Linked DNA regions of Stegostoma tigrinum. The protein of the gene in region 1 interacts with the protein of each later gene in a biochemical or structural test. Links are inferred from orthologs where the notes say so. Each region holds a gene or a part of one and is shown in the gene's direction. Other genes may lie near its edges.

Region 1 (7,678 bases):
CTTTCAGCCGATGGTGTCTATACTAATGGTCAATTGGGCATTATTACCTAATGCCAATCTCCTGCTTTTTTTCTGTCCCTATGTATTTCTATCTATTTGGTCATTGAATGCCCTCTTGAATGTTTCAATTAAACCTGCTTGCATCCCACTTCTAGGCAGTACATGCCATTTCCCAAATACTGTACTCACCACGTATAAACACTTTTCTCACATCATATTGTTCATTTTGCAAACACTTTACATCTATGTCTTCTAGTTCTTGTTCCTTTTAGAAGTGGGAACAATTTCTCCTCCACTGTCTACAGTATATTCTTAATTTTGCAGACCTCTATCAGATCTCTTCATCATTCCAAAGAGAACAAAGAATCCCAATTTCTTCAGTTTATCCTCATAACTGAAGTTTGTCATCCTTCCTGTAATGTGGCACCCACAACTATACACAATTCTCCACGTGAGGCCTAAAATGCATCATATACAAGTTCAACATTATCTCTAACACTAACTAGTGTACTCCAAACCACAATTAGTGAAGCCCAGAAGACCATGTGCATTATCAATTGGTCTCTGCACCTACCTTGCCACCTTCAATGATCTGTGCACATATACATTCAAGTTCTTCTGTACCTGCACCTTCTTTAGACTTGTACCCTCTATTTTCTTGTCTTCCAATGCTCCTCCTGTCAAAATGTATCAACTCACACTTCTCTATATTGAACGTCATCTACACCTATCTGTCCACTTCACCAATTTGTTTACTTCGAGTTCTAAACTACCATCCTCAGCTTACAATACTCCTGAGTTTCATGTCTCTGCAAATTTTGAAACTGTCTCCTGCACACAAAAATCTAGATCATTGATATATATATCAGGAAAATCAAAGATCAAAAGGAAGATGGAACACATTCAACACAGAAGAGAAGAAAGCCCTGCAAAGACTCAAGAAAGACAGTAACATTGTGAACTTACCGGCAGGCAAAAGATGCATGCCAGTAATCCTCAACAAAGCTCAAAACATTGAGAAAGCTAATGGTCTAGTAGAATATACTAACACCTGCCAACAGATGGCAATATATCCAACACCAAGTTAGGAAAGCGGATTGCAATGACCCTGAAGAAATTACGCAACTCAGGAGACATCAGCAAGACAGGCTACCAAAAAAAAAAGAGGAAGCCAGAGGGATCCAACACATCCCGATTCTACGGATTCCCCAGGATCGCCCTAAGGACTCCCTCAGACATGCTGTCTCACTGCCAGGTAGACCAACATATAGACTTGCCAAAGAACTACACCAAAAATTAAAATACTTAGTGGACAATACCACCCACTCCATCCACTCATCTCAAGGATTCCTCAACATCATCAAGAACACCAGGATAGAAGAGAATGCGATGATGATATCCTTTGACGTAACAGCACTATTTACATCCATAAACATTGATCTAGCCAAAGAAAGAATTGCCACACTGCTGGACGAATCAAGCAAGCCAGCAACCCAACACACCAACATCAATAAGGACACCACCATGAAACTACTATAGCTGTGCCTCACAACCCACTTTACCTTCAACAACAGCATACATGAACAAATCAATGGAAGACCAAAGGGATCCCCAATATCAGGACTGATTGGACAGCACTCTCCACTATACAATCCAAACTTTGGGTCTGATATGTAAATGACACATTTGTGATCATCAAACACACAAAGAAGAAACGCACCAATAAACAACATCCTTACCGGGATAAAATTCACAAACAACTGACTACCCTACCTGGGCATAATCGTAGAATGCAAAAACTACAGGGAACTCCAGGCTCGTGTATATAGCAAGACCACACATATGGACCAAATATTCAATTACACTAGCAACCACCCCAACACCCATAATCGGAGCTGCATCAGGCCACTATTTAAATGAGCCACAAGACTTTGCAGCGTGTCAGAACTATGCAAAGCAGAACAGGAACACTTACACAGAGCCTTCAAAAGAAATGAATACGCAATAAGCACAATCCGCTGTTACCTCTGAGGCAGGCCACAACAAGATTCGGGGCAGCGCGGTGGCACAGTAGTTAGCATTGCTGCCTCACAGCACCAAGGACCCGGGTTCAATTCCAGCCTCGGGCGACTGTCTGTGTGGGATTCCTCCAGGTGCTCCGGTTTCCTCCAACAGTCCAAACATGTGCAGGTTCGGTGGACTGGCCATGCCAAATTGCCCGTAGTGTTCAGGGAGGCGTACGATGGGTCCGGGTTGGATGCTCCAAGGTTCTGTGTGGACTTGTTGGGCCGAAGGGCCTGTTTCCACACTGTAGGGATTCGAATTCTAAATCTTTAAAAAAAACCACATGGCCAGAATCACTAATCACCCTACCATACATCAAGAATATTTCAAGGATGAACACAAGACTACTCAGACCCCTAGGTATCAGACTAGCCTACAAATGGACAACCACCTATGACAGCTACTGACGAACGTAAAAGATCCCATACCCAAAACCAGCAAAACTGAGGTGATATATAAAATACTATGCAAGGACTGTAATAAACACTACATGGGCCAAACCAGAAGAAAACTGACCAACTCTCACTGGTCACGCGACACAAACACGGAGGGATATGAATTCAACAGGGACAACACATCGAAAATTGCACAAGCCAAACAGACACACCAGGGAATTTTTGGAACCCTGGTATTCCAGTCACAAACACATTGGTTTGTACACAGGATCTAATTCACTGAGAAACAAAAAGTAAAATCAACCACCCCAGCAAACCGAAGCATATAGATAACAAGCAGGACAGAACACCGATGCTTCACCGGAGGCACTCCGACAATGTTACCTAGCAGGGTAACAAAACATTTGCAACCAAACCCATCTGCTCAGTGACATGTCTACAACCTCAAACATATCCACGGACAATTACAGTCAATTCTGAAGAGTCACTGGACCTAAAACATCAACTCTCCACAGTTGCTGTCAGGCCTGCTGAATTTTTTCCAGCAGTTTCTGTCCTTGTTTCTGATATCCTGCATCTGCAGTTCTTTGATGAGGAGCTGGAGGAACACAGCAAGCCAGGCAACATCAGAGGTGGTGGTTTTGGCTTGGGTTTTTCTGAAGAAGGGTCCCAACCCGAAACATCAACTTTCCTGCTCCTCTGATGTTGCCTGGCTTGCTGTGTTCCTCCAGCCGCACACCATTATCTCTGACTCCAGCATCTGCAATTCTTACGATATCTGCAGTTTTTTGCCTTCTTTTACTATTACACCTTGTTTCCAATCATGCAATCAATTTAGTATCCATGATTGCCAGTCCTTTTTCTCCTATGGCTAATAATCATGGTAAAGTCTGTTGTGAGGTGCTGCATCAAATACCTTCTGGAAGTCATGTTCATCACATCAACCACATTGGACTCATCAAACCTATTACCTTAAAACAATTCCAGTGTGCTAGTCTAACATGTCTTCCCCTTCAGAAATCCATGCTGACTCTTACAAATGAACGCAACTATTTCCATGTGACTAATTGTAAGCCAGATAATTGTTTCAAGGAGCTTCCCCTCCACTAGAGTTAAACTGACCAAACCAGAACATATTTTCTGTTCATGAGCGATAATTTTCTTGACAGTGTGTTCTATGGTTTTTGGGTAAACTGCAGCTGTAAATAATAGTGCATGTATTGTTTTTAATAAAAGCAGCAATGTTTGTACAAAATGTAAACATGCATTTTCTAGCTTACACATTTTTAACCTAATATTTGTTTTACAACGTGAAGGTACATATTAAAGGTAACTCATTGAGCAACCAATAACAGTAGAAAACAAAAACATCAAAAGATCAGTTGTAATGGGGTATCAAATGGAGGATAAAGTTCATGCGATAAGTTGCTTCAACACAATGCTGAGTCCAGAAAGTTACAAACTGCCCTATTCCAAATTCCTCCAATTTGCATTGGGCTTCACTGTTGAGGCTATTCACATACATTAGTAAACTGAAACACAATTGTGGAGTAACAACTTCAGCCACTCAGTCCATTCCCTCTGTTTAATCAGAACATGCATTTCAACTTGTATTTTCCAGCTCTTATTCATACCACAGTCGAATCATTAATGCTTCTCTCTGCAGATGCTGCTGAGTTTCGCACAGAATAATTGAAAACAGAAACTGCATTCGTTTATCTCGGAACAAGTATCACTGGACTCGAAATATTATATACTTTCCCTCCACAGATCTGCGGGGCTCCTGTAAAGATTCTTTTCAGGTTTTTGTTTGTTTGTTTCAGATCTCCAAAACCCGCAGTTCTATGTTTTACTCTCTTTTTATTTCATGTTTGGGTCTTTCACTTTACCTGCCTTACTTCAACAGAAAATATCGAAACCTCATCGATAGAAACGTCTCGGACTAAAACGCAGTTGGACTTTACAGACAAAACCTGCAACGAAGGACTAACAACCGCAAAATCTAGCCTCAGGTTTCCAGAATGTTCCAGGAGAGCCCACTGCGGCGGCGCATGCCGGCCAACCAATCCGATTCGAAATCCCCGTCCAACGACTCCTCATCCGGGCGTTTGGTGAAGCGGGATCCCGCCTACCCTTTGCCCATATTAGGCGCTGGTGGTCAGCCTTTCGCTCCTAATTGGCGAAAGTCAGTCAGAAGCAGAGCTCTGATTGCTCCGCGTAGCAGCCCGCGCGCTCCGCCCCTCTGAGTCCTCGGCGTGAGGGAGGAGGAGGCTGATCGTCAGGCTCGTTGTTGAGCGAAGCCATGGGAGTGCAAGTGGAGACTATCACCCCCGGAGATGGTATGGCGTTACCAAGCAATTTCCCCATGGCGATAACTTCACCCTGGGCAGGGGCATGGATGAGAGGCCTGGTCTACTGCGTTTCGGGGGAGGGAGAGTGTTTTTATTTGCGGTCGGGCTGTTGTTTTTAATGCAGCAGTCGCCGAGTCTAATCTGCGTCTTTCCTCTCTCAGGGCAAACCTTCCCCAAGGCTGGGCAGACCTGCGTTGTTCATTATACGGGTGAGTAGAAAAGGATCCCACAGTCGTCTCAACTCGGTGCGGGATCATGGCGTGTAGGTGTTAGGGCGGGGAGGTAGGTGCTGCGCGAAGGTGGGTCCCCGCGGTTGCCGGGGCCGGGGATGGCTGTGGCGGGCGAAAGCGACCGCTACAGGAGCTGGGATTGTGGATCCTTATTCTTTCCCCCGGGTGGGGGTGTGACTCCCTGCCGAGGAGGTGGAGGAAGGCTGGAGGGAATGAAGGAAGAGGATGCTGATAGATAAAGAATGCCTACAGTATAGAAGCAGGCCCTTCGGCCCAACAAATCCATACCGAACCTCAGAGCATCCCAGCTAGCCCCCCCCCGCCGTAACCCACCTAAATCTACATCTCCCTGAACACTGGGCAATTTAGCATGGCGAATCCGCCTAACCTGCACATCTTTGGACTATGTGAGGAAACCAGAGCAAGCAGTGGAAACCCACTCGGACACAGGGAGAATGTGCAAACTCCACACAGACAGTCGCTCGAGGCTGGAATCGAACCTGGGTTGTGGCGCTGTGAGGCAGCAGTGCTAACCACTGAGCCACTGTAATGCCTGGGTGCTAGTGGAACCCGTTCTGTGGTGGCGTTTGGCTGTGGGTCCTTGTCTGTGAGAGTCTGCAGTAAGGATCCCTGTGGGGAATGTCAGTAATTGGGGACCCTGAGCGTATTGAGTTTGAATCTTTGGTGAAAGACTTGTTAGTGGGGGACTGCAAGAGTAGATATTAGACAGGGGCAAATAGGACTGGGTAGATTTCTGTGGCACGGCTATAAGCATGGATTCCTCTTGGGAGGTGAAGTACTGTAGAAACTTGAGGATGGTGCTGAAAGGGGATCACTGCTGGGGAGGCATGTTGGATTTGATTCCAAGTTGGAGTCATGAATAGGGAAAAAGAATCCTTGTTAAAATTGTACAGGTATGCTGTAGCCATACCTACAGTAGTGTTAATGAAAAGGTGTGCCCACATAGGAAGTACAGTGAAGGTTCACTCCATTAGTCCCTGTGATTAAAGGGTTGCTGTATGATGAGTGGCTGAACAAACTGGGTTTAAGTTCTGTGACATATAGAAGATTAGATTCCCTACAATGTGGAAATAGGCCCCTCGGCCCAACAAGCCCACACCACCCCTTGGAGCATCACCACCCAGACCCATCCCTGTATAACCCACACACTCCTGAACACTATGGGCAATTTAGCATGGCCAATCCACCTAGCCTGCACGTCTTTGGACTGTGGGAGGAAACCCCACACAGACACACAGGGAGAATGTGCAAACTCTGCACAGGCTGGAATCAAACCCGGGTCCCTGGTGCTGTGAGGCTGCTCTGCTAATCACCGAGCCACCATGCTGCCCATTGATCTAATGATTCAAGGCTCTGAGGGGTAAGGTCACTGATGTTCAAGGAATCCAAAACACAGGAGTGCCGTTTTAGCATAAGACGATTTTTTCTTCTGGGACTAAGAACTTCATCCTTCTCCACTTGGAGGATTGAGTCCCTATCATTGAATACTTTTAAGCTGAAACCGACAATTTTGATTCCTCAGCTAATTGAGTGATCTGGGGAGAAGCAAGAAAGTGGAGATGAAGCTGGAGATCAGCCATGATGTGTATTGAATGGCAGAACAGATTTAGTGGATCTCATGATCTTCCCTATTGGAGGGGTTTCCCCCTGTGGAAGCGAGTTTCTGTGGGGAGGGTGCTGCTGTTGGAGTGTGTCACTACCTGGTAGACACTGAGCTGTTGTGGTTGCTTTTTGAGTCTGACTGTGAATCTCTGAAGGGTGTGGGGCTGAGTGGTATACTGTGGTTGAGATTAGGACTTGGTGAGCTCTGTGGGATGTTGGTATGAGTTAATTCGTAGAGGGGCCGAAGGTTGTTAAGGTTGCTGGTTTGAGATAGGCTGACTATACCTGCAGTTGTGTGGAGCCTACTGGCTGTACTGCACAGCTGAGATTGGGTGCAGCCTGAAGCAGGTTGGGGAGACTGGTTTTGAGATGACATGAAGGGTTCCCAAGGACCCTGGAAAATCTCTCCTCATCTCAGCCTTAAATGGTCAGCCCTTATCCTGAGTGTATGGTCTGTTTTAGATTCCTGAGCCAGGAGAAACAACACTCAGAAGTTTACCCTGTCAAGCCTTTCAGAATCATATTTGTTAAAGTTCCAGTGATGCTTCAACTCCAGAGGGCATAGGCCCAAAAGTTTCTCATAAGCAGCCTTAATGGAGTTAATGTGGTAAGACTTTGCTGTGCCTCAAGTGGTTTTTCAAATGTCTGGTGCAATTGTAGCAAATCAAAATACCTACTGTACATTTTTGGGGGACACATTTTATAAAATTAGGTTTTTTAAGTGGTTAAACATGACAGCTGACGTTTTTTGGTGATAACTTGCTTGCCAGGATGTGTATTGGGGGGACTGCAATGATTAGTCAAAAAATCTAACATTTCATTCGAGGGGTGGAGCTTTTGTTGTGAAGAGAAACTTGCTGTTGGGCAAGTGCTTCTTTGACCCAATGCCTTTTTGAGAACATGAGCATTCTTATAACTTTGGTCTTGCAAGTCTCCGGATCTCTCTATCACATTGCCTTCATTTGCACAGGCTGTGGCCTTTCTCCTAAAACTCGTTGCCATCATGTCTTCTAAT
Region 2 (7,689 bases), on another chromosome or scaffold:
TTGGGCCTAGACCCTTCATCAGACAGCACAAAAGCTGACGTTTCGGGCCTAGACCCTTCATCCCGAAACATCAGCTTTTGTGCTCCTGAGATGCTGCTTGGCCTGCTGTGTTCATCCAGCTCCACACTTTGTTATCTTTCAAAAAAGTGGTTGGTTTTCGACAGGAAGGGAAATCAAGGAGAAGAAGCACTGAGATAACAAGGTGTAGAACTGAATGAACACAGCAGGCCAAGCAGCATCAGAGGAGCAGGAAAGCTGACATTTCGGGCCTAGACACTTCTTCAGAAGCACCATTGTCTTTTGTTTTGAACACCTCTTAGCATCTGGCTTCAAGCACATACAAATTCTCCAAGTGTATTGTATGGCTTACGATACCCAATTTGAAAAACAGGGAATCATTATCACTATACAAGTGAAATCTCAATCAGCTGTCCACTTGGGATGGTGCAGTTGTAAAAATTCAGAGAAGAGATAGACAATCAAAGGATTGGATGAAATAGCATTTCAGGGATAACAAAGTATGGAGCTGGAGGAACACAGTAGGCCAGGCAGCATCAGAAGAGCATGAAAGTTGACGTTTCGGGTCGGGACCCTTTCCTCTGAACTTTACCTCTCCCCTGATGCTGCCTGGCCTGCTGTGTTCCTCCAGCTCCACACTTTTCTCTGACTCTAGCATCTGCAGTTCTTGCTATCTCTCAGCATTTTAGGGAGCTGTGTTATCAGGACGTTGTCAGATTCCAGTTGGAGTTAAAACCAACTCCAACTCAGCCAAAAGGTGAGTTAAAAAGTAGCAAGATATGTTTGTTATTTGTTGCCAGCATATGACTGTTGGAGATTTTTTTCTAGGCAAAATATCTATTGATGGTATCTTGAAAGCATTCAAATTATTTAAAAGCATTGAAGCTTGGGTCAAAAGAGATACATATGAAATGTTACATGTATGACTTATTTAACTGATGTTGAAAATGTTTAGGTTTTAGACAAGAACGTATGTTTGTTTGAAATAAAATGCATTTAAAAACTCAGGTAAAACCTGTGTGCACTAGTTTTCCAGTTGAATTACCAATGATCTCCTTAGGAACAAAAGGATTATGTCATGCTGTCAAACTGCGAATAAGCAGTCAATAAAAAGTTTATATCAGTATAATTCACGTTAACAAAAATTATAAACAAAGTATGGTCAGAATACAGGAAAATAATTTATTATTGGGAACAAAGAAGCAGTCACAGTATGAAAATTGAATCTTATTATACAAGAAGAAAATCTAGCAGCTGCTAGATCTTTCCTAAGGCACTAATCATTACTAGGGACTGGCTAGTACACAGTTTTGTAGCCCATGGCTAGCTTCCTAAAACAGTTCAAGACCACATACCAAAGAAACATCATGTTATAGTGAAACTTACAATGAGTTTATGTATTCCGGATGTATTTCTAGGACATAATCTAAAACAGAATGCTATGCAAATAAACCTATTAACTCATGTTGTCCTTTTAATTTAATACTTGACTAATTAGTCAATGATAATGGAGTTAACAACAAAATACCTGGCATCTTTTACAGTTCATTACTATGTTAGATTAAAGTATATTGATGTTGTAAGGTCAACAATTTATTTGCTTCTAATGTTAATTGCGTCCCCTTTGTACTGAATTTGTTTATTTTTCATTTGCTCTAAGAAAAGAGGTGAGGAAATATTAAAAGGTTTTAATTCATTGAAATGCTGGAAATTTGCTGGCACAAGTAAGTGTAGAAATTTAGTAAAATAAAACTACTGCATATTAGATATAAATGAGCAATATAGATGAAAACAAAACTTCATATGCGAGGATATCTCAAAATGCTTCACAGCAAAACAGTCTATTCTTGCAATTCAGTCACTGCAATTTTGAGGGCAAACAACAAACAACTTATTCCCTGAATCATGAGGGAAGTCCTCAATCTGCTACAATTTAACATTGTCATCATTCTTACATGTAACAACTTCCACATGTTTTCACGACATCCCATTACATATTTTGATTGTAAACACAAGTTATTTTGATAGAGGAATTGAAAACATTTTCAAATCAGATTCAAATCATTTTCAAACAAGTACATCTTTAATTCGAATATATCAATCCTGACATACAATTGGGTATTACTGAAAACAAGATATCTTCTCAAAGTTTTGTACCGTACTCTATGTACAATTTGCAAAAAATGCCAATTCAAGGAAAAACCATATTTTTACTGCATGAGAGGAAAATATTGGTTGATTGGCAAGATTGACAATTGACAGTTAACTGCTGGGCCTGTTTAAATTTTAACAGGGCAGGTTGACTCTAATTGATCAGGGCATTGTCCTATGAAATGAACCAGTGAATTGCTATCACCTATTTTCATCGAATCCCTAGAATGTGGAAACAGGTCTTTTGGCCCAACACGTCCTCACTGAGCCTTACAGCAAACCCCCCTGCCCAACCCACCTAATCTACACATCCCTGAACACTACAGGGAACTTAGGCTGGCCGATTCACCTAGCCTGCACATCTTTGGACTGAGGGAGGAATGCAGAACACCCGGAGGAAACCCCTGCAGACACAGGGAGAATGTTCCACACACAGACAGTCACCCGAGGGTGGAATCGAACATGGGTGCCTGGCACTGTGAGGCAGCAGTGCTAACTACTGAGCCACCCTGCTGAGAAACAGTACATATACATATTCTGTCTGCAAAGAACAAGGTCTTATATTAATATCTCCTGCATACACAACTGCACCATACTGTAAGACTGACAGACAAGCACAGAATCCTTAGTGTGGAAGTAGGCCATTGGGTCCACACTGACCCTCCTAACAGCATCACACCCAAACCGACCCTCTATCCTATCCCTATAACCCTGCATTTCCCCATAGCTAATCCTACTAGCTCGACATCCCTGGACACTACAGGCAATTTAGGCTGGCCAATTTACCTAGCCTGAACATCTTTGGACTGTGGGAGGAAACGAGAGCACCTAGAGGAAATTGACACAGACATAGAGAGAACAAGGAGACTACACTCAAGACAGTTGTCAAAGGTGACATTCCTGACTTGTTTTTCAGTGAAATTCCTTGTAAACTCACAGTTGTCCAGCAAATTTTGTCCAGTGCAGAACCACATCTAATGTTGGACACAATGTTGCAGGTTGGGCAAATCAGTATCTTGCTTGTCGTGATCAGCTGAAAGATTTGCCAGGTGATAGGATCTGCCAATTTAGGACAGACAGCCTACATTAGTCATTCACCTTCTGTGCTTTCTGGTTCTCAATCTTTCCTATATTGGGAACATCTTTTACAACCTGCTCTGTCCAGATGGCTCTTGATTTTGAAGGAAGGGGTTTCAGGATTTTGATCCAGTGACAGTGAAGGAATGGCGCTATAGTTTTCAAATCACGATGGTCTGAGACTTGAAAGAGAACTTTCAGGCAGCGTTCCCATGCATCTGTTGTCCTTATTCTTCTAGATGGCAGTGCTCAAGATTTTGAAGAGTGTCCCAGGAGGTTTAGTGAGTTGCTGCAGTCAATTTATATCAGTTACACATTACTATTAACTGTACATCCTTGTTGGAGGAAGCAGATTTCAAGGTGATGAATGGGGTGCCAATCAGGCATTTGCTTTAATTTCAAATAATGTTAAGCTTATTGAGTCTTAAGAGTCATACAGGACAGAACCAGACCCTTCAATCCAACCAGTCCATGCAAACATAATCCTAAACTAGCCTTACCTGCCTGCTCCTGGCCCATATCCCTCCAGATGTTTCCTATTCACGTACTTATCCAAATGTCTTTTAAATGTTGTAATTCTACCCATATCTGCCACTTCCTCAGGCAGTTCGTTCCACACATGAACCATGCTGTGTGATTAAAATTTCTCTCCTCCTAGCTTAAAATGTGTCCGCTAATCCGGAAATGGCCATCCCAAGGAAAAGACAACTACCATGAAGTCTATCTATACCTTTCATTATTTATAAACTTCTTTCAGGTTACCTTTCAAACCTCCTATGCACCACTGAAAAAGTCACAGCCTTTCCATATAACTCAAACTTTCCATATTTGGCAAAATCCTGATAAATCGCTTCTGAACCCTCTCCAGCTTGACTATATCCTTCCTATAACTTGCTGGAGCTGCATTCATCACAGCAAATGGAGAGTATTCTGTCACAGTCCTGACTTGTGCCTTCTGGTTGGTAAACAATTCTCCATCATTCCCTCTAAACTGCTCCTGCATTACAGATTATTTATAATGGATGGTTCAATTGCCTTTCTGGTTCATAGATTTACTGAGTACCTTATTATCCAACATTTTCTGTTGATTTTAATCAGGTTTCCAGCAACTAGAGTATGCTGTCATTTGCTCCACGGTGCAGATTTTTAAATACAGAGATATATGTATTGACAGACAACCTGAGGGTTTTGATAACAAAGTGTGGGGCTGGACGAACACAGCAGGCCAAGCAACATCTTAGGAGCACAAAAGCTGACGTTTCAGGTCTAGACCCTTTTTTCTGATGAAGGGTCATCTTTTGTGCTCCTGAGATGCTGCGTTCATCCAGCTCCACACTTCGATATCTTGGATTCTTCAGCATCTGCAGGTCCCATTATCTCTGAGTGTTAATAGTTGGGAACCATGGGAGGCGTGGCCACATAGTATCACGTGATCGAAAGGAAATCCGTCCCCCTTCCAACGTAGGATTGCGTCCTGAAAGTGCGCCTGCTGAAGGGGATATTGCGCAGCTGCGTCGTGAAGGTAAGTGGGATAGTACGATGCTGTTTAAACCCAACCGTCAACGGTTGGCACGTGTGTCTCAGCCGGTCAGACATGGCGGGGGATCGCTGATGTTACCGTCTGTATCTTCAGCTATTACGAGTGGAAAATGGATTTTTTATTATTTGGGCTGAGTCGATTGGAGGGGATTTAGATTACTTGCTGATGTCATGCGCAACCTAATTGCAATCGTAAATCCATCCACTGTTTAAGTCTATTCTCACATGAATTGGCAAAGAAGTTGCAACTCACTCCTGGCTGTAACCCCTCTTGCGTGTTTGCGACGTGCAGCACTCTCATTCAAAGTCTCACACCTAAGACAGTGACAATACCAAAGTGATTCCAACTTCCCACTCAAGATCCAGAAGAAATAGCGGAGGGTTAACAAGGTGTGGAGCTGGATGAACGCACCTTCTAGACACCTTGTTACCTCATTTCACACTACCTGTTTGTTAGTCATTGAACCCAGCCTAATCGTTATCAACTCCTTTGTCTATCCAGTTGCTCTTCTCTTTCTTCGGGCTGTATCCTTTATCCTTTGTTTACTCCCTACCCCGGCACCCTCCCTATATTCTCCCTACAAACCGATGTTTTCCGCAGCTACTGTCAGTTGTGAGGAAGGGTCTCTAGACTCAGAACTTAATTTTGATTTCTTCACAGATGCTGCCAGACCTGCTGAGCTTTTCCAGAACCTACTGGTTTTGTTCCTGATTTACAGCATCTGAAGTTCTTTTGGCTTTTATTGCAATAGTGTAATTGGATATTGTTTGCTGGCCTCCGATTCAAGATAACATCTACTTAAAATCACAAGTTTTTTTCAAGCAAACAAGCAAGAAAGTTCTTGACTTTTGGGCATTTTGCCTCTTACGGTCCTGAAATGATGAGATCTGGAGTGCAGGATTTGTTGTTTTTTTTATTCCCCCTCCTCTACTACTGATCTTCCTCATCTTTAAGGCATTTGAACATAAAGTATTATGCAGTTTGATGGACCAGTTGTTGCCATCTTGAATGATTCACAAAATCTCCTGCAGTGTGGAAGAAGGCTATTTGACCTATGAGTCCGTATGGAGACGTGGGAAAAATGTGCTAACTCCACACAGTCGCTTGAGGCTGGAATTGAACCTGGGTCCTTGGCATTATGAAGCGGTAGTGCTAACCACTTAGTCAGTGTGCTGCCCAACATAGCAATTGGTGAAAAGCTCCTTCCAGTCATTAGAATCAATGCTGTCATGCTTCAAGTTTTAATGCATTGTGATATAGGAAACTGAGTGTTTGCAATATGTACCACTCAATATTGAAAAAAAAAGTTAGTTTGAGAGTAGGCAATTTAGTTGATAAGTGCACTTTGTTTTCCAAAGTATTCAGGAATGGCATTGAATGACAAGTGGGTGCATTCACGTTTAAATCAACTTTATTAAGTCCAAAGAGACAATGATGATCATCAAAGGTACACTGAACTGAACAAATTTGGCAAACATTTTCAGTAACTATGCTACCTTATTTTTTAAAATTTAAGCCTTTCAATTCATTTCTGTATTATTTACTGCAAAGACACTAGACTGTAGCAACTCTACAGCCACCCGAAGTCATTGAGCCAGAATCAAATATCATCAATGATATGCTGTTTCACTAAATAAGAAAATTCTACTATCCTAAATCCACGATAAAATCCTCCTTATGAAGCGTAGCATACAAAAAACTTAGCCATATGCAATTGGGCGCACAGTGGCTGAGTGGTTAGCACTATTGCCTCACAGTTTCGATTCCACACTTGGGTGACTATCTGTGTGGAATTTGCACATTCACCTCATGTTTGTGTAGGTTTCTCCCACATTCCAAAGATGTTCAGGTTAGGTGGATTGGACATGCTAAATTGCCAGTAGTGTCCAGGGTTGAGGAGGTTGGGTAGATTAGCAATGGGAAATGCGGGGTTACAAGGATAGTTTAGGGGGTGGGGTGGGTTTGGGTGGGATGCTTTTCGGAGATTTGGTATGGGCTCAATGGGCTGAATGACTTGCTTCTTCCCCACTGGGAATTCGATGATTCATTTCAGCATTATGGAAAATTGTGATAAGGCAGGAGGTTGTCTCCATGTTGACAGGTAGAGAAAGCTGTTTGTGTGGCAGAATTGCAGTGTTTGGGTGTGCAGTCTGTGCAACAAATGAAGCAAAGCTGAAAATATGAAGAGTTTTAGACTGTAAATAATAAATATTGCAAGCTAAACTTTTGATTTCCATTGTCTTGCTCATTTATGTGAAGAAGTACTATGGTGGGAAGTTTTCTTGCCTGATCCGTTCAATATACACTGTGAAATGGGTACATACAGAATAGCACTCCAGCTCTCCCCAGAAATGTACCTGTACAGTATAGCTTGGTATTACATCAAAACCAAAGTGGGATAAATGATTTTACAGAATTTTAATGTCCAATACACAGTATGAATCTCATACCCAAAACTGTAGGCCCTGCATGAAAAAAAAATACAAGCCCAAACCAGAAAACAAGATCTCTTTTCAAATCCGCAATCATAAGAAGGCCCTTCTTTCTTTCCAGTGTTGTCTTACTCATCCTTTTCATTTTGCTTTCCATCCCATTCTTGCCTTCCTCCAAAGCTTAAAAACTAGAAGGATTCAGCTTGGCTATTCAAATTTTCTCAACTTTCTTTGCTTTTGTAACCTTCCAATCTGGAAAGCTTTGATTTTCAGAAGGGCTAATGGGCAAGCTATGCTGTGTGTTTGAGTCATGTGTCATTTCAAACACATGCAAGCGATTTTAACATGTATTTGTTTTGATTTCTGATGAACAACCTGAATGTTGCCTATGGGCAAAGCCCAAGTTTATAGTATCCAACCCTTGATAGGGATGCTAATGTATTACATGCAAGCCATCCTCATCTTTTTATT
Region 3 (7,152 bases), on another chromosome or scaffold:
ACTTCCAGCTGTTTTCTATCACTGTGTAAATTAAGCCTTTTGTTCAGTTCGTGAGTGAAACGGACAGCAAGCAATGCGGTTCTCCAAAACTTGCTCACCACCTACAAGGCACAAGTCAGGAGCGCATTGGAATGCCCTCCATTTGTTTGCATAGGTGCAGCTCCAACAACAATCTAGAAGCTTGACACCATCCAAACAAAGCAGCCATCTTGAGCAACAACTTAAAAAGGAGTTGAACAGCTCATCCACTTCACCAACACCTTCCACCCCAACCTTAAGTTTACCTGGACCAAATCTGGTACCTCTCTTGCCTTCCGGGACCTCTTTGTTTCCATGTCTGGCAAGCACCTCGAAACCGATATCCATTTCAAGCCTAAGATAATAAAATGTGAGGCTGGATGAACACAGCAGGCCAAGCAGCATCTCAGGAACACAAAAGCTGACGTTTCGGGCCTAGACCCTTCATCAGAGAGGGGGATGGGGGGAGGGAACTGGAATAAATAGGGAGAGAGGGGGAGGCGGACCGAAGATGGAGAGTAAAGAAGATAGGTGGAGAGGGTGTAGGTGGGGAGGTAGGGAGGGGATAGGTCAGTCCAGGGAAGACGGACAGGTCAAGGAGGTGGGATGAGGTTAGTAGGTAGCTGGGGGTGCGGCTTGGGGTGGGAGGAAGGGATGGGTGAGAGGAAGAACCGGTTAGGGAGGCAGAGACAGGTTGGACTGGTTTTGGGATGCAGTGGGTGGGGGGGAAGAGCTGGGCTGGTTGTGTGGTGCAGTGGGGGGAGGGGACGAACTGGGCTGGTTTAGGGGTGCAGTAGGGGAAGGGGAGATTTTGAAACTGGTGAAGTCCACATTGATACCATATGGCTGCAGGGTTCCCAGGCGGAATATGAGTTGCTGTTCCTGCAACCTTCGGGTGGCATCATTGTGGCAGTGCAGGAGGCCCATGATGGACATGTCATCTAGAGAATGGGAGGGGGAGTGGAAATGGTTTGCGACTGGGAGGTGCAGTTGTTTGTTGCGAACTGAGCGGAGGTGTTCTGCAAAGCGGTCCCCAAGCCTCCGCTCGGTTTCCCCAATGTAGAGGAAGCCGCACCGGGTACAGTGGATGCAGTATACCACATTGGCAGATGTGCAGGTGAACCTCTGCTTAATGTGGAATGTCATCTTGGGGCCTGGGATGGGGGTGAGGGAGGAGGTGTGGGGACAGGTGTAGCATTTCCTGCGGTTGCAGGGGAAGGTGCCGGGTGTGGTGGGGTTGGAGGGCAGTGTGGAGCGAACAAGGGAGTCACGGAGAGAGTGGTCTCTCCGGAAAGCTGACAGGGGAGGGGATGGAAAAATGTCTTGGGTGGTGCCCGCTTTGCAGAACACCTCCGCTCAGTTCGCAACAAACAACTGCACCTCCCAGTCGCAAACCATTTCCACTCCCCCTCCCATTCTCTAGATGACATGTCCATCATGAGCCTCCTGCAGTGCCACAATGATGCCACCCGAAGGTTGCAGGAACAGCAACTCATATTCCGCCTGGGAACCCTGCAGCCATATGGTATCAATGTGGACTTCACCAGTTTCAAAATCTCCCCTTCCCCTACTGCACCCCTAAACCAGCCCAGTTCGTCCCCTCCCCCCACTGCACCACACAACCAGCCCAGCTCTTCCCCCCCACCCACTGCATCCCAAAACCAGTCCAACCTGTCTCTGCCTCCCTAACCGGTTCTTCCTCTCACCCATCCCTTCCTCCCACCCCAAGCCGCACCCCCAGCTACCTACTAACCTCATCCCACCTCCTTGACCTGTCCGTCTTCCCTGGACTGACCTATCCCCTCCCTACCTCCCCACCTACACTCTCTCCACCTATCTTCTTTTCTCTCCATCTTCGGTCCGCCTCCCCCTCTCTCCCTATTTATTCCAGTTCCCTCTCCCCATCCCCCTCTCTGATGAAGGGTCTAGGCCCGAAACGTCAGCTTTTGTGCTCCTGAGATGCTGCTTGGCCTGCTGTGTTCATCCAGCCTCACATTTTATTATCTTGGAATTCTCCAGCATCTGCAGTTCCCATTATCTCTCTCCATTTCAAGCCTACTGACTCACACAGCTACTTAGAATATACCTCCTCTCACCCAGCTTTGTGTAAAAATACCATCCCCTATTCCCAATTTCTTCACCTCCGCCACATCTGCTCCCAAGATGAGGCATTCTACCCCCAGACATCCCAGATGTCCTAATTTTTCAACAATCGCAACTTCCCCTCCACAGTAGTCAAAACGCCCTTGACCATGTCTCTCACATTTCCTGCAACTCATCCTTCCCACCCCTTCACTGCAACAACAAAAACAGAATATCCCTCATCCTCGCGTACCACCCCACCAACATCCAGATCCAGTGCATCATCCTCTGGCACTTCTGCCATCTGCAATCTGACCCCACTACCAAAGGCATTTTTCCCTCCCCACCCTTATCTGCCTTCCAGGGGGACCACTCTCTCCGTAACTCCCTTGTCCGCTCCACACTCCCCTCCAGCCCCACCACACCCGGCACCTTTCCCTGCAACCACAGGAAGTGCTACACCTGCCCCTCACCTCCCCCCTCACCCCCATCCCAGGCCCCAAGAAGACCTTCCACATCAAGCAGATGTTCCCCTGTTAGGGGAAACCAAGCGGAGGCTTGGAGACCGCTTTGCAGAACACCTCCGCTCTGTTCGACAAGTGAACCTCCCACTCCTTGGACGACATGTCCATCCTGGGCCTCCTGCAGTGCCACAATGATGCCACCCGAAGGTTGCAGGAATAGTACCTCATATTTCGCTTGAGAACCCTGCACCCCAATGGTATTAATATGGACTTCACAAGCTTCAAAATCTCCCCTCCCCCCACTAAAATCACAAACCCAGCCCAGCTTGTCTCCGCCTCCCTAAACTGCCTTTCCTCCCACCTATCCTGCTTCGGGTGACTGTCTGTGTGGAGTTTGCACATTCTCCCCGTGTCTGCGTGGGTTTTCTCCGGGTGCTCCGGTTTCCTCCCACAGTCCGAAGATGTGTAGGCTAGGTGGATTGGCCATGCTAAATTGCCCGTAGTGTTCAGGGGTGTGTGGGTTATGGGGGATGGGTCTGGGTGGGATGCTTCAAGGGGCGGTGTGGACTTGTTGGGCCGAAGGGCCTGTTTCCACACTGTAGGTAATCTAATCTATCCCCTCATCCCACCTCAAGCCGCACCCCCATTTCCTACCTACAATCCTCATCCCACCCCCTTGACCTGTCCGTACTCAGTGGACTGACCTACCTCCTCCCTACCTCCCCACCAACACTCACCTTTACTGGCTCCATCCCTGCCTCTTTGACCTGTCCGTCTCCTCTCCACCTATCTTCTCCTCTATCCATCTTCTATCCGCCTCCCCCTCTATCCCTATTTATTTCAGAAGCCCCTTCCCCTCCCCCATTTCTGAAGAAGGGTCTAGATCTGAAATGTCAGCCTTCCTGCTCCTCTGATGCTGCTGGCCCTGCTGTGTTCATCCAGCTCTACACCTTGTAACTTAAAGCGTCACTCGCCTCTCGCTCATCCTCACATACAGCTTTGATCATGTCTATAAGATGAACTGCAGCAACTTTCCTAGGCTCCAATTAGTTGACATAAGTGACTTTTACTGTGGAGAAATTTAAGGGCACACCTGGAACTAACTGGGTCAAAATCCTACAACTTTCTCCCTAACTGCACTGTGGGTGTCCCTAGCTCCTGGGGACCGTGGCCGTTCAAGAAATTCACCCACCCACCTACTCATGGGCTATTAAGGACGGTAAACAAGTGCTGAACTTGCCAACCCATGCAATAGATAGTGTTGACCGTCTTTGTTCCTTAATAACCGATAACATCGCGAGCGAGGTGCCTCGATCATAAATAGTAACAAAGAACAGCGTGTTATCTTCACTCTGCAGTGAGTGGATTTTGGGATTATATTTGGATTACCGACAACTTCCCCCTTAATGTGAAAAAGTCAACACGGAGTGTACGTTGCTGCTGTCGGAATTTGCCATGGAAGGACAGGCACAGGGGTAGGGACAGTGGGCTGATTGACAGTGGGTTACTATAGCACTCGGCGTGACCAGCCTCCCCTATAAGGATGTATATGGATCGGTCTACGCTAATACTGGAACAGGAGCCGTGTGCTGACAGCAGAGGGAACGAAGGGTCCAGCGTGTGAGCGGAGCCGGCTCTTCAAACAGCCATGGCTGAAGGGACTGAAGGGGAAGATGAAATTCAATTCCTCCGAACTGTGAGTAAACGACTTGCCCACAATCTAAATAAAAGCCGAAAGAACTGAGGATGCTGTAAATAAGGAACAGAAACAAAAATTGCTGGAAAAGCTCAGCAGGTCTGGCAGCATCTGCGAAGAAAAAAAACATCAGAGTTAACATTTCGGGGTCCGGTGACCCTTCTTCAGAACTCATCTGGGTTGCAACGTTAACTCTTTTTTTTCCTTCACAGATGCTGCCAGACCTGCTGAGCTTTTCCAGCAACTCCTGTCTCTTGCCTCCAATCTCGTTAGCAGTCTGACGCCTTGAGCGGTTAAAGTCGTTCGATCTGATGCTGTCCAGCAAACATAGATTCCGGCGCTGCAGGAATGTAGTGAGAAATTGTCGGACAGCCGAGCAGTTTTACATTTAATTGTATTCGCCTTTAGTGAACTTCTTCGCCCTACCCTGGTGTGATAGGCGCAACCCTATTTCTGGACGCTTCTGTCACACACCAACAATAAATTCCCATTCCGTTGGGATCATGCCGTGCCGTGAACTTTTACAGCGTCTTTCTTGAACTCTCTCCTCTCTGCCTCTGGGAGATTATCTCAGCAAAGATTCTTTATCCACCGAGGTAATGCATTAACACCGGCTTGAAGTTTGTCACGCAGCAGATTTGGTTAACAGGCAGGGCAAATGATTTTTTTAATGTACATTAATCAGATCAGGTTCGAAGTTATAACGAGTGGCGCATGGTAGCATCTGTGGAAGACGGTGGTTTCCGAAAGCAGAGCTGTGGAGACTTAATTCAGGCTAACTCTTACACAAACTGGATTTCCTCAGGCACTGACTGGGCTTTCCCCAGCTAAGAGGTAGCGATACAGAGCTCGAAGTTCATCAGTGCTAGAGCGGCGGTGCCTATTTTTGGAGAGGTGACTGTGGTCTATGTGCGGAATGTGCCGCCCCACAGTTGGACTGTAAGCGATACGGACTGGCAGAGCACACTCGCTCAACAGGTGCATTGTATCGAGTACTCCCCCCTCGCTAGGGATTGTAACACCACGCACTGCTCAGCGGCTCTGGGAACAGAGAGACAGAGGGAGAGAAAGAGAAATACTCAGGAGTAGCAGCTTTTAATTTTGTTCTTTGTAAGGTTGAGGTGATGCGAACTTCACTTAGACCGTGGTGAAGTTTCAGTGCCATTGGGACAGTCCAATGTAAAGACGGCTTCAAATTTCACTCAAAGAATCATACAGCTCGGGAAAAGACCCTTCGGCCCACAACGCCTGCGCTGACACATGACGCCTTTTTAAATTAAAAATCTTTTTGTCTGCTCAGTAAATATCCCCCATTTCCTCCCAACCGATTCATGTTTCTGTCAAGATGCTTCCTGTATCCACTTCTACCACCTTCTCTGGCTGTCTCCCCAGGCACTTACCACCTTCTGTGAAAAAAAATGCTTCTCATATCTCCTTCAAATTCCCCCCCTTTACCTTAAACTTATGTCTCCTAATAGTTGAAATTTCTAATCTGAGGGAAAAGAATTCCATTTATCCATTCTACCCCTGCCTGTCCTTAGTTCGTAAACTTCTGTCAGGTCACTCTTTAGCCTCGAAGTTCAAATGCAAATTTTGTCCAATTTCCCCTCATAGCAAACACCCTCCAAACCAGGCAGCATGCTGGTTTAACAAAAAGTTGCTAGAAAAGCTCTGCAGGTCTCGCAGCATCTGTGAAGGAAAAAAAAAGTTAACATTTCGGGTCCAGTGACCCTTCCTCAGAAGCTTTTCTGTACCCTCTCCAAAGTGTTCACATCCTTCTGTGGCATCAGAACTATACACAATATTCCCAATGTGGCCTAACTGAAATTCTACACAGCTGCACACATTAATACAATCTAGGAAAGCTACTCAGTAATGGTGCCCTAAAAACATCGCCAATTATTGTAAATTGGGTTTGCTGTGTCCTTCAGGGAAGAAAATCTGCCATCCTTACCTGATCCGGTCTACACATGACACCTGCCCTTAAGGCAATGTGGTTAACTCATAATTACACACTGAAATGGCCCAGCAAGCCACGCATTTCATAAGAGTGATTAGGGATGGGCAATAAATGCTGGACTTACTGGCGATCCCTACATGTCATCAATGAGTCAAGAAAAATTGGGAAGATGGTGCTTGAGTATGCCTGCATCCTCCTTTATCAGACATTAGCATCACAACCCTTGCCCTCCATCTCCACAAGTGAAAAGCACCGAAACTTAAGTCTTGAACATATATGCCCTGAGAAATAATTACGTTTCTTTCTTAATCTGATAGTGGAAGCACTGCACTTATATGAGACTAAACAAAAATATATGCTTAAGTGTTGTAGAAATTAGCGGGTTAAATGGGGAGAGTGCAATTTAATTGGAGATTTCTGTCTCACTGCTGTTCACAAGGCAGAATCATTCTTTCAGAGTATTTTATTTAATTGAGATGCTGGAGTCACTAACAAGATATTGTGTTCCTTACTAAGCTCTTGGAGAAGATAATTTGGAATAAAACAAACCTAAAGCACTGTGGATGCTGGAAATTAGAAACAAAAACAGAAATTGCGGGGAAAATTCAACACGTCCGGGAGCATCTTTGGAGTGACTGCAGCGCCTTTTCCAGTGTATGGCAAGGGTGTAACAGTGATATTTTTAATCTACTTTGAACAGCATAATCTCTGTTACGATGGGTTCTGGTGGTATGTTACAGTTGCCTCAGAATCATAGAATCCCTCAGGCATTGGAGCAGACTGATCAGCCCATTGAGTCCACACTGACCATCCAAAAAGATTTCACCCAGAACACACTCCTAGCTTATCCCTGTAACCCTGCACTTCCCATGGCTAAACCATACAGCCCACACTTCCTGGACACTATGAGCAACTTAGCAAGGCCATTCCAC

Evidence for each region. The genes of interacting proteins can lie anywhere in the genome.
Region 2: the proteins of peptidyl-prolyl cis-trans isomerase FKBP1A-like (region 1) and glmna form a complex in vitro, tested with the Homo sapiens proteins (2 studies listed by BioGRID). The link is inferred for Stegostoma tigrinum from reciprocal best matches to the Homo sapiens genes FKBP1A and GLMN.
Region 3: the proteins of peptidyl-prolyl cis-trans isomerase FKBP1A-like (region 1) and ryr3 form a complex in vitro, tested with the Homo sapiens proteins (2 studies listed by BioGRID). The link is inferred for Stegostoma tigrinum from reciprocal best matches to the Homo sapiens genes FKBP1A and RYR3.

The regions. Positions count from the first base shown.
Region 1 is NC_081372.1:6,545,542-6,553,219, reverse strand, and holds the start of peptidyl-prolyl cis-trans isomerase FKBP1A-like, read left to right. Parts: upstream 1-4,665; 5' UTR 4,666-4,761; coding exon 4,762-4,798; intron 4,799-4,971; coding exon 4,972-5,019; intron 5,020-7,678. UniProt on the Homo sapiens protein: Keeps in an inactive conformation TGFBR1, the TGF-beta type I serine/threonine kinase receptor, preventing TGF-beta receptor activation in absence of ligand.
Region 2 is NC_081361.1:86,511,245-86,518,933, forward strand, and holds the start of glmna (glomulin, FKBP associated protein a), read left to right. Parts: upstream 1-4,684; 5' UTR 4,685-4,768; intron 4,769-4,834; exon of another isoform or gene 4,835-5,175; intron 5,176-7,689.
Region 3 is NC_081363.1:67,235,366-67,242,517, forward strand, and holds the start of ryr3 (ryanodine receptor 3), read left to right. Parts: upstream 1-4,147; 5' UTR 4,148-4,212; coding exon 4,213-4,260; intron 4,261-7,152. UniProt on the Homo sapiens protein: Cytosolic calcium-activated calcium channel that mediates the release of Ca(2+) from the sarcoplasmic reticulum into the cytoplasm in muscle and thereby plays a role in triggering muscle contraction. May regulate Ca(2+) release by other calcium channels.